Linked DNA regions of Saccharomyces cerevisiae S288C. The gene in region 1 interacts genetically with each later gene. Each region holds a gene or a part of one and is shown on either strand. Other genes may lie near its edges.

Region 1 (2,830 bases):
TATATACATATGATTCACGTGAAAATTTTTATATTTTTAATTAAATTTTTATAATATTATAAATTATTATAATATTGATATTTAAAATTAAAAACAAATTATTAATGGTTTTGTTTTCCGAAATGTTTTTTATAATTATTACTTCAGAATAGTTATTTTCACGAATACGAGATACAGGGTAATGAAAACAGGTGTTATCCAAAAAAAAAAATTGATATATTTTAGATACTTTACATACAGAGGCAAGCTTCAGCTGTAGCCAGGTACATAATATTCCCTATAAAGTGATCAATATTTTTTAACGAAAAATTAAAAAAAAAAATCCTTGAATAAAGGAATGAAAATATTGTAACAAGCGATGACATTTCTTTTTTTGATTGTAGTTGTGGCATTTTATATTTGCTTTTGCATTTACCCTATTCTTGAAGGTTTGGATAGACAAGCGAGATAACACCAGTTGTCCTTCAACTTATTCAAAGCAGCAGCTCACTTAATTATTATTAAGTATACACATGAAAGCCTTGTGTTTATTTCGAATCTTTTTCTTGGGTAGAACTTTTAACGTTGTCAGACGGCATGACAACAGGTTTTTGGGAAGTAGATCTAATATTTTTTGTAGAGTCTTTGGCACTGTTGAAGTGTTTTTTTTGGAAGGTTCTATTCTTGTTATTGTAAGGACTCCTATAATAATTGTTCTTATTATATCCGAAATTTTGATTTGGAGACTGATTTGGAGGGTACGGTGGGTAATAAGGGAAGGTATCGGGATTGGGGTAGGCCATTAAGGGATAATTCCATTGCCATTGTTGGAAATACTGGTTTTGCGAGTTGTAATGCCTATTAAATCCTGGAATGTTAGTTCTTTTTCTGGAGACAGCAATTTTTTTGCCTTTAAGTTCTCCTCCATTTAATTGCAGGGCTTTTTCTCTGTATGCCGGACTTTCAAATTCAATATAGCCGTAGCCTTTTGGTGTTCCCGTATTCCTATCATAAAGAAGTGTTATTCTTTTTATCTGGCCACAGTCTTTGAAATGATCTTCTATTTGCTCTGGGGTGACATCCGGAGTGATGTTACCGACAAAGATAGAACGCGAGTCAGCTTCAAGTTGATGAGCGTGTTTTTCCTCCTTGCTTAGCTTTTGCGACACCTGTGGAGTGCCCTCGATAGATAGTTTACCCACAAGTTCATCCAGCTCGAGCTCTTGCTTGTCGTTCTTTTTATTGTTCGAAATTTCAGTCTTTAAGGTTGCCTTAGCATCCACTTTCTCTTCCTGGGACATAACAGCAATTGCAAATGATGACACTATGTGACAGCAGATATATGTTTATGTTAATAGGCCTGGTTGGAGAGCGAAAGTTGAGATTACTTACTTAATCAAAATTAAATTTGAAATTTGCTGCATTTTAAGGTTACTTTTCGGAGTGTAGGAAATTGTTGCGGTTTTTTTTCACCTAACGAATGATTGATAATCTTTTTCATATCCTCCAAGAAACAAGCTGTTTATTATGGTGATTGCCACAAATTGAAGCGCTATGCTTAGTGCTTCATGACAGAAAGGTTTTGCATTGGTAGGCGTGGAAGATTACAGATTGTACTCGTCGTTGGCTCAATTTTTATATTTTGTTGCTTCAAAAACAGTGCCGTATCCTTAATGAATGAAAAATTCTAAAGAAAATAAGTTGATACTAAAAATATAATGTCCTTGAAGTATTTATGCGATATATAGAAAAATCTATAAATACTTAAATATTACAGCAGCGTTATTTTTGTATAGACGCCGACGTATAAGAGTCTCCTATCAAAAATCAGAATCTGAGCCCAGTATGTCATCTAATTCTGCGTTCGATAAGGTAAAAGATTGGGATGAATCATGGTTGACACTGTTGTTATCGACTTGACTTTTATCGTTAACTTTTACAAATTTTTTTTCGTCTCGTAACATGCCTCTCGCCAAACATTTAGTATAGTTCATATCAATTGTCCTCTTCTTATTATCATTACTCTCGTCGTTAAATAACGTAATGATTTTTGAAACTTTGTGACAATGCGGAACTTTTACCCCTTTGGTGTATTGTACAAAATTGGGCTCCACATCGAAGGAAACACCTTCTGGGATATAGCGGTTTCTGAAAAAATTCCAATCGTCCAAACTCAATACCATGTTATTCTTGTCAACAGTACAGCTCTTTTCTTTTTCAAGGTTGTGTTGATTTCCTCGGATGTCTTTCACATTTTTCTCGATTTTAGTTGGAAGACCACAATCATTCACAAATAAAGCCATATTAGGGCGTTCAAAATTATGAAGTGGCTTGAGTGTGGTAAGACTTTCGCCAGTGCGAATAATGGCAGTTTCCAAATCTTTTTGGCATCCATTCTGCCCTTCCGCAATGAAAACATTATTATCATCACTGACTTCTTCATCTTCAGTTTCTAATGAGGAGGAAGCTTCCTCGGTTGAATCATTCTCCAGATTATCCAAAGCTTTAAAAATCTTCCGCTTCTTACTTGGGTTTTCATTACTCGTTACTAGTTGTTTCCCGCCACTTTCATTCACCAAGAACTTATTAATTAAAGTGCTTGCACTAACAATACTGGTCTCAACATTATCAGGCATAAAGAACTTCTTCGGTTTTTTATTTTCCTGAACTCTCTTCTTCTTTGTTATGGCTTTTTTTGGCTTCACCTTTTTGCCCATCATACACTGAGTCGCATAACGAATAACTTCGTCAACATCTTCCATTTCATTAATTATTTCGTTTTCATCATTAATCGTGATCAATGTCTCGTGACATTCCGGAATAATGTCTTCAGGGATTATCCGATCTGATT
Region 2 (4,501 bases), on another chromosome or scaffold:
CGTTTTGCAAGGAATGGATATGCTTCTGGAGCTTCTTCTTCCAGTCTATGCGAGATTGAATGAGAGCGGCTGGTTGCTATGGTTTGTCTTCCATGATGTGTACGAAGCTGTGAAAATGAGTACTAAGGAGTCAGTGCACACCAGGGTAATCAATTTCCCTGATATTTTGTCAACTCAACAAATGAGACAGGGTCCATCTCAGATCAGGACACCTCTGGTAATGCTTCTTATGTGAGGTGTCTTGGCCGAAATTTATATATATATATATATGTATCACTAAGCTCCTAATTAGACTGCCATGCGGCAGTCAACGTTACCTTTTTTGAAATGTAGAAAAATTTAGTTATTTTTTAGGATGTTCATAAATATATCTATATATGCCATTTTTAACATTATAAATTACGAACATACGTGAATGAGGTGATATGACTGGTAAAGAAGAAAAAAGGATAATAACAAACCAAACAAGATAACCTGTGCATTCTATTTTATAATTGGTAGCAGTTCTAAAGCAAAAAACTGAAAAAGTGCTTTAGTATGATGAGGCTTTCCTATCATGGAAATGTTGATCCATTAAGACGAACTATAAACGGCGTCAACTTTATCTTTGACAGCATTCAAAATGTCTTTTCTTTTCAATTTCTGAGCGGACGTAACAAAACCGTTTTGTGGAGTCCATTCGCCGTCAAAGAACACTATGCCTGCTAGTAATTCAATGCCAACCAAACCTTGGTCTTTACCTGTCTTCAAAAGATCAGAATAAACAGCTTTAATCAATTTTGCATCCTCCAAATAATTTTCGATATTAATTGAACTGTCTTTTTGTTCCATAATTCCCAACTTTTTAGCAAGCTTCGTTAATGGAGCATGATTTGGTACAATAATACCAACTGGCTTAGTCTTAGATTGGTCGGCATAAACACAAATGTTAGCAACATATTCGTTAGATCTGTAAACGGACTCTAATTTCTCGAGTGCGATATATTCACCGTTCATTGTTTTGACCAAGTTTTTCTTCCTGTCAATTATTTTCAAATGGCCATTTGCTTCCCATTCACCGATGTCACCGGTCTTGAACCAACCATCGCTTGTTAAAGCTTGAGAAGTTTCTTCCTCATTCTTATAATATTCAGGCGTGACATTGGCACCTGTGATCCAAACTTCACCTTGGTTGTTTTTAGCAAAATAACCTAATTCTTCAACATCAACTAGTTTGACGGTAACACAACCTGTTAGGTCACCAGCGACGCCGAGTTCAAAATTAGCAGGATCCAAGATGGTGGTACTAGCGCATGTCTCGGTTAAACCGTAACCAATAAGCATAGGGCAGATTAAATTTGTGATGAATTCCTGAGCATCCCGACTGATTGGAGAACCACCGTTTAACAAATATCTTAATTGGCCACCTGTGGCAGTTCTGATTTTTTTGAAAACCAAGTTTCCTAAGGCGCCGCCACCAGGGATGTGGAGACGTTGCATGTTCAACTTGGTATTATACGCGGTCCAGAAGATTTTCTTGGTGAGGAAGGGCAAATTATCAATTTGGTTTAAGATCCCTTTTCTCACTGTTTCCCAAACAGCGGCGACACCAACCATGATTGTGGGCTTGAATTCTTGCAAATCACCTTGACAATTTCTCACAGAGCTGCTAGTTAAAGTTTTTACGGTGGCATAACCAATGCAGGCCCCCCAATAAAAGGACAATAGTTCGAAAACCAATTCAAAAATATGAGCTAGTGGCAAAAAACAGATAACACGGTCGGTATTGCCCACAAACTTCAAAACATTCAAACTTGCACCACCAACACCTGCGACAACATTTGAATGTTTCAAGACAACACCCTTTGGCTCACCTGTAGAACCAGACGTATACATGATGCAACAAAGATCATCCTTGCCAGGTGGATGAACATCGATTTCGTTACAGGATTCTTTACCTAGCTTCAAGATGTCGTCAAAGCTAAAGGTCTTGATATCAGGTCTAACTTCTTTAATTCTGTTGATGGCATCATGAGCAGATTGATAGATCTTACCACTTTGCCTCCTGTCCTCAGAACTGATGGAATCGAAATGAATTATGTATTTTACGTCTTGAGCGGCTTGCACTGGTTTGATCAAGGATGGTAATAAAGAGTTATCGGTAAAAATGGCCTTAGACCCCGTTTGCACCAAAGAATGAATTAGCCCTTTCTCTCCCAAAGTATCGTAGGCAGTGACGACAGGAATACCTTGAGACTGCGCTCCTAAGAACATCTTCATCCACTTGTGAGAAGTGGCTGCGTAAAGATGTAATTTGTCATCATCATTAGGCTTTAATCCTATTTTCACCAACCCACGACCAATTTCATGCATGATATCGGTCAATTGGTCAAATGAATTATAATGATAATGCGATAGTTCATAATACATCCATTTCTTTTCCACTGAAGTCTCCTTGCCATCAACTTTTTTCATAACCGATTTGGATTCTTCATGAATTTCCTTAACATCCCTCCAACCCATAGCATTTGAATTTTTGTTCTTCTGAAAGCACTCTAGAACAAACTCATAAACAGTGGAACACTTTGTGTTAGGCGGTCTGACGAGCGGCTTCTCGCGGCATTGATAATTTCTTCTTGGAGCAGTTTCATGCTCATTGGCGGCTTTCCCAACTGGAACGGTATATTGAGCAACCATATTGTTGTCTTTTTTTGTCTTTTGTGTTTGTTCTAGTTTTTATTGTATCCTAACGAGTTTTTTAACAACAAGAACTTTCTATACTTACTAAATATACTACAATTGTCTCACGACAAGTGAGGGGTAAAAGGAAAAAAAGAGAGAAAAATAAGCGGTTAAAGCCTTTTACTTAAAGACAGCGAAGGAGATCTCCAAACATTTTTGTTGTAATATCGATAATACGATATCCGCGAAAGGAACCAAAAAAAGCAAAAAAAAAAAAAAAACGCGCGAGAACAGCCTATCTCTGCTGTCCCGTATGCACAGGGAAGTTCTCCTGATATGCGATGGGTGGGTGCCCCTGTGTCATTCGTATTATATGATGTATTCGTGCCTGTATCATGCATAAATATTCACATGGCGGAGATCATGTTCCTGACAGGGCGTGATCGACTTTACTATTGTCCTTGTCATTCCCTTATGGAAGAATATGACAGGGCTGCATCATCCATATTCTAAGTAATTCTCTTTGCCGCGCTAAGCATGGCTTCATCGCTTGTTAGAAGGCGCATTTGTTATAAAGTTCAGCCGGCTCTATCGGTCCGCTAGCTAGGTCTGTTTACTTTCCGCAGCGTAAGCAGCTGGCAAAGTGGATCGGTCTTACATCTACAACGCAGTGACGTTTCTGATACTTTGGTGACGTATTCTTTTCTCACCGCTACGTTTTCTTCGCCCGCTCCGTGCGGACCGAAAAAAGACCCTCTCCCCTTATAAATTTTGTCAGTATTATAGCAATTGCCTGCGGACTTTCACCGCGCTTAGATCAAGAGGGCATCATGAGGCTACCTACAATTGACATACTAAGTCAAGAAAAATAATAGTGTATCGAATACGCGTGGTAGCTACATTAAATACTAAAGTATGGTTTTTTTTTTTAAGTAGGTTTACTCTTCATATTCTTCATTTTCATTTTTCCTTTTCTTCCCGTTCTTCATTTTTATTCCTAGAAAAAAAAATAAATATGTCTATCGTTAACCTAAACATAAACAAAGTTTAGCCCGCTTATTTAAATGATGCCCAGTACTTTTTTTCAAAACTCATATAATTATATATATCAAGAATGCTTTCCAACCACCGCTTGTATTAAGGTGTAGAAAGGTGGTTTTTGTATTCAAAAAGAGTACAAGCCCATTATAGCTAACTTAACAGTCCACCCTACTATATCCCACGCATATCTGGTTTTAACTTGTGGCGGGCGATATGGAACGAATTTTTCAAAGTTAACCATAGAAAAAAGCATGTGATCAAGGCAGAGTGAACGAGGGAAAAAGAAAGTGTGGAGAAGGCCACCTTTTGAAAAGTTTACCAATCGATCGGTCTCTCAGCACTTTCTACATTTAATCTCTTTATAGTGAACATCGCTGGCTCATGCTGGTTCCCATGCATAACTCACCCACGGCCGCCAACGGCCGCTTATCACTTACTGTCGCCAGCTCCGGTCTTAGAAAGGGTAAAAAAAACCGGGTGTATACTATACACTCATACATCCGCTCACCCGTTTCCAGTAGTGAATTTTCATTTTCTGTACGAAGGCAATATAAGCTGACGATCCGCATAAAGCAGAAGACTCATTTGTAATGCAGAATATCCGTACAATAAAGGAATTTATTGGTCTTATATATTCTACGTGGGAGCTCGAAAAGCATTTCTGGTTCTATTTAGTAACCAATTATTTTCACTTTGCTCAGAATAGTTCTGCATAGCTATAGAAAGAAAGTTAACACAAAGTACGGAAAGATTGAGTAAATATGAAACTCGGAAGCAAACAGGTAAAAATTATATCCTT
Region 3 (3,625 bases), on another chromosome or scaffold:
TTACTTCTTCACTTTGTACTTCTCACGAAAGTCTTCGTCAATAAACCTCTGATAAAGTGAAAATTCTATGAGATTCCAATAAAACCTCCAAATATCTTTATATACAGCTTACTACTTAGATAAGATGACGTTCGCCAATGGTAGGCAAAAGATAGCAGGGTGTTCTTGCCTTTCAGTCTTCGCCATGCTCTCATTCAAGAAAGGGTGCCAAAATACCGAAAAGAGACACGATCGGGGGTGTCAAAGTAGCGATTCCTGTGGGTTAAAAGAGGGTGAACCACGGCAAACATGCATGTGTAAAACCCAAAACGCCGATCTAGGGCCTGCGACGCATGGTACGAACATCCTGAAGGTATATAAAAGAGCTAAAGTCTTGACTCATGCCTGAAATCTTGATTTTTCATTGTTATATCCTCTCTATACATTAGTAAGCACCATAGATGGGCTGGCTATCAAAAGCGAGAAAAAAAAAATGCTGAATTCCAAATATGTACTCATCGGGGTGAATTTCAATGATGTGTTATGTAGATACAATATATATGTATAAGTCACTAAATGCATACATACGAGAGTCTACCTTAAGTTTGTCCAAGTGAAAAAAACTGGGCATAGCAAAAAGACGGTTGTAGGTATACCTGCGTATATGAGAAACCTTCCGACGATTTCCACTTTGGAAACACCGCTGTACAATAAACACTCTTCTTCTTCACTTGTCTCGTTATGGAAATGAACCTTTTCGCTTCTATCATCGTGAAATCTGAGTAGTTTAATTAACAGCGTGTAGACAGCTGTCTTGCTAATGACGTCTTTCCAAACAATCACAGAAGCGACACCTACCAGAGGCCTCAAGAACACCTTAGAACCACATGATGCGTACCTACTACATACAAGGTTCCATCCGTATCTTTCGGTTAACCAGTCGCTGCAATCCAGCCCACTGACTACGCCAATGAACGCTACGCTATCTTCGAAACAAGGACATTCATCAATGGGCCTGACGTGGTTAAACAGAATAAACAAGCCCCATGCTACACTCAAAAGGGGAAACCAGAGATGTTCACCAATCTGGAAATTTCGTAAAGCATGCACCACCCAGATTCTTATAAAAAAACAGATAGCTCCAACTGCGGCGCCGCTAAATAAATCCAGCATACCATGCATACCGCAGTAAACTCTACCAAAAACCAGGGTTAAGTAGTAAAATATCACCAGACTCAGTAAAAGAAGCTTTGTTGGCCATACCAGTGTGTCAGATAAACATATTCTCCAAAAGAATAATAGACTTACCGCAGTAGCGTTAGCAGAATGTGAACTGGGTGCACCATATTCTTTCGTAGTGTATTCACTTAGTGTGATTCTGTCAACTGGCGGTGATTTTGGCCTTGGTAGGCACCAATAATCCTTTAAGTAGCCACTCAAATAAATTGAATAACCAAGAACGTAGATCATGTCCCGTGTTAAATCGCGGTATCCAAGCCACACAGGCATGGGAAGCACGATAACATAAAACATGTGGGAACCCATAAGCGAAGTGTATTTGAAATAAACGTCTCTAAAAGGCGTTCTGTGCTTTTTTTGTAAAGAATGTACGAAATCTGATTGGTTGTCTGTGAATCTAGTTAGATACTGCCTTGTTTGAAACCTTAGCCACGACATCTGGCTCTCAAAATGCTCCGCTGGATGATTACCGGGATCTGCCAATAGGTGTTTGCCGCCGGAAGGAGCCATCTGAACCTTAATGGTGTCCTCGGTAACACCCAATTCAGTAACCGTCTGAATAATGGTCATAATTAAATTCTTTTACAGGCTTGCTATTTTGTATATTTTTTTGAAGACTACCACTGCCTAACTTCTTTTTGTCATGTTATCAATTCAACTAGATGTTGAGAAGGAAGCCAAGGCAAGGCTGATAAAAACTAAGAAAATAAGGAAAAATCATTATGTTATATAACATGAATTCTAGACGTACGTGCTCGTAGTTAGGAAGTATCTAAATAAGAGTCCCCACGTTACTTTAATTAGAAGCACGCCATCTTCCTACAACCGATTTTTTTGGATTGTAGATATCAGAGTCTCATCAAACAAGAGGAACCCAGAATAGGCACGTCCACTGAGAAAACCGCGGACAAGCAAGACACGCGTACCTGAAAAGGCTACATTTCTTGAAGAAGTTGTTCAGTTGAGCTAGCCACCTCTTTAGCCTGAAGACGTTCGTAATTCAAAATAGATTCCCTTGGCAATTGAAGCCATGAACTGAGTGAATCTGCAGGCTCAATCGTATTAGACAGTATGGCAGTAAGCCTTGCCCGTTCCTCTTCTTCACTTTGTTGAAGAAGAGGCTGTGGGATTCGTACCCCAGGAACGATCTGCAAATTGTCCGAGCCGCAGAATACGTGCGCACAAAGTTTAGCGACCACTTCAAGGTCTTTCTCTTCATCGATCTTTCCTCCGTATACGATCGTAGCTATGTGATCTCGCACTTGTGCCCAAGGAATGTTGTTGGTAGAATTGGTGGCTAATACATTCTCTAAATACACTGAGGCAAATTGAAAGTCGCAATCATTAAAGTAATACTTCTTGGAAAACCCATGAGGAACCAATCGGGTCCTGGCAGTGATCAAGGCATGAAACCATGACAATAGGAAGGTACAATACACGCTCCATACTCCTGAAATTTTACCAGTGAAAAATTGAGAACCCCATAGATCTTTGACGGTATCTAGTATACCTGGGATATCCTCATACACAAATCTATCAGTTCTTTGTAGCAATGGGGCAGGTAGTTTATCACCAGTCAAATGGCATGTCATGAACATTTTGAATTTCTCATGTTCTTCTGCCGCCTTTGTCTCCTCAACATGCTTGTGCAGATACGTTTTCACCCATGATAGCGACATTTGTATGTTTTGTAATAATATCCAACCACCTTCTATCTTAGATTTTGATATTTCCTCTTGAGCATAGTTTAGATTTTCTATAGACCCTAGCGGGATGATTTTTAACGATTCCTTCGAGGCTTTCGCCAATTCGATTAATTTGAATGTGCCATCAACATCTCGCTCGCTTGCCATTGTAAAATAGTTGTTCTCGGAATTGGCTACCACATCCGCGATATTCCACTCATCAACAAAAAACTCATTTTTGAACCAGTTCAACGCAGATATATACGATTTGGTTGTAACATAGTCCCATAAGTACCGCAAATCATTATTTGTATCTACGGTTAGTTTTGGTACGCCATCGCTACTTTCAGAGAGAACTCCAATCATAGTTAGAACTGCCTCTTTATATTGTTCACTTTCAATGTCGAATTTATACAAACAAAACATCGTCATAGCCATAATCATTTTAAATTTTTTGTCAAGAGCGGTGGAGAATTGACAATATACTTCTTGATATAATAGCCAAAGAATTTCATCTACCCGTGTCCTAGCTGCTCTTGTTTCCCTAGATTTCTTAATGAAGACACGTTTGAAACATGATAGAAATTGTCCTATAGAAATGCCGTAAAACCAATGAAACTGACCAAACTTCTCCAACATAGAGAATATTTTGACACTATGCTTACCGATAATAGAATACTCTTCTACCAGATTATCAAACTGTGGGAAAAACTCTTCAGATT

The links.
Region 2: mutations in SGN1 (region 1) and FAA1 together harm fitness more than expected from each alone (negative genetic interaction), as found in Saccharomyces cerevisiae (2 studies listed by BioGRID).
Region 3: mutations in SGN1 (region 1) and YSR3 together harm fitness more than expected from each alone (negative genetic interaction), as found in Saccharomyces cerevisiae (2 studies listed by BioGRID).

The regions. Positions count from the first base shown.
Region 1 is NC_001141.2:355,616-358,445, forward strand, and holds SGN1 (Sgn1p), read right to left. Parts: upstream 1,281-2,830; coding exon 528-1,280; downstream 1-527. Other genes in the region: MPH1 (3'-5' DNA helicase), read right to left, coding at 1,800-2,830.
Region 2 is NC_001147.6:907,518-912,018, reverse strand, and holds FAA1 (long-chain fatty acid-CoA ligase FAA1), read right to left. Parts: upstream 2,677-4,501; coding exon 574-2,676; downstream 1-573. Other genes in the region: YOR316C-A (uncharacterized protein), read left to right, coding at 4,084-4,293; metal cation transporter COT1, read left to right, coding at 4,464-4,501. UniProt on the Saccharomyces cerevisiae protein: Activates long-chain fatty acids (LCFA) by esterification of the fatty acids into metabolically active CoA-thioesters for subsequent degradation or incorporation into phospholipids.
Region 3 is NC_001143.9:533,494-537,118, forward strand, and holds YSR3 (sphinganine kinase YSR3), read right to left. Parts: upstream 1,789-3,625; coding exon 574-1,788; downstream 1-573. Other genes in the region: DYN1 (dynein heavy chain), read right to left, coding at 2,154-3,625. UniProt on the Saccharomyces cerevisiae protein: Dihydrosphingosine 1-phosphate phosphatase required for efficient ceramide synthesis from exogenous sphingoid bases. Involved in endocytosis and calcium-mediated signaling.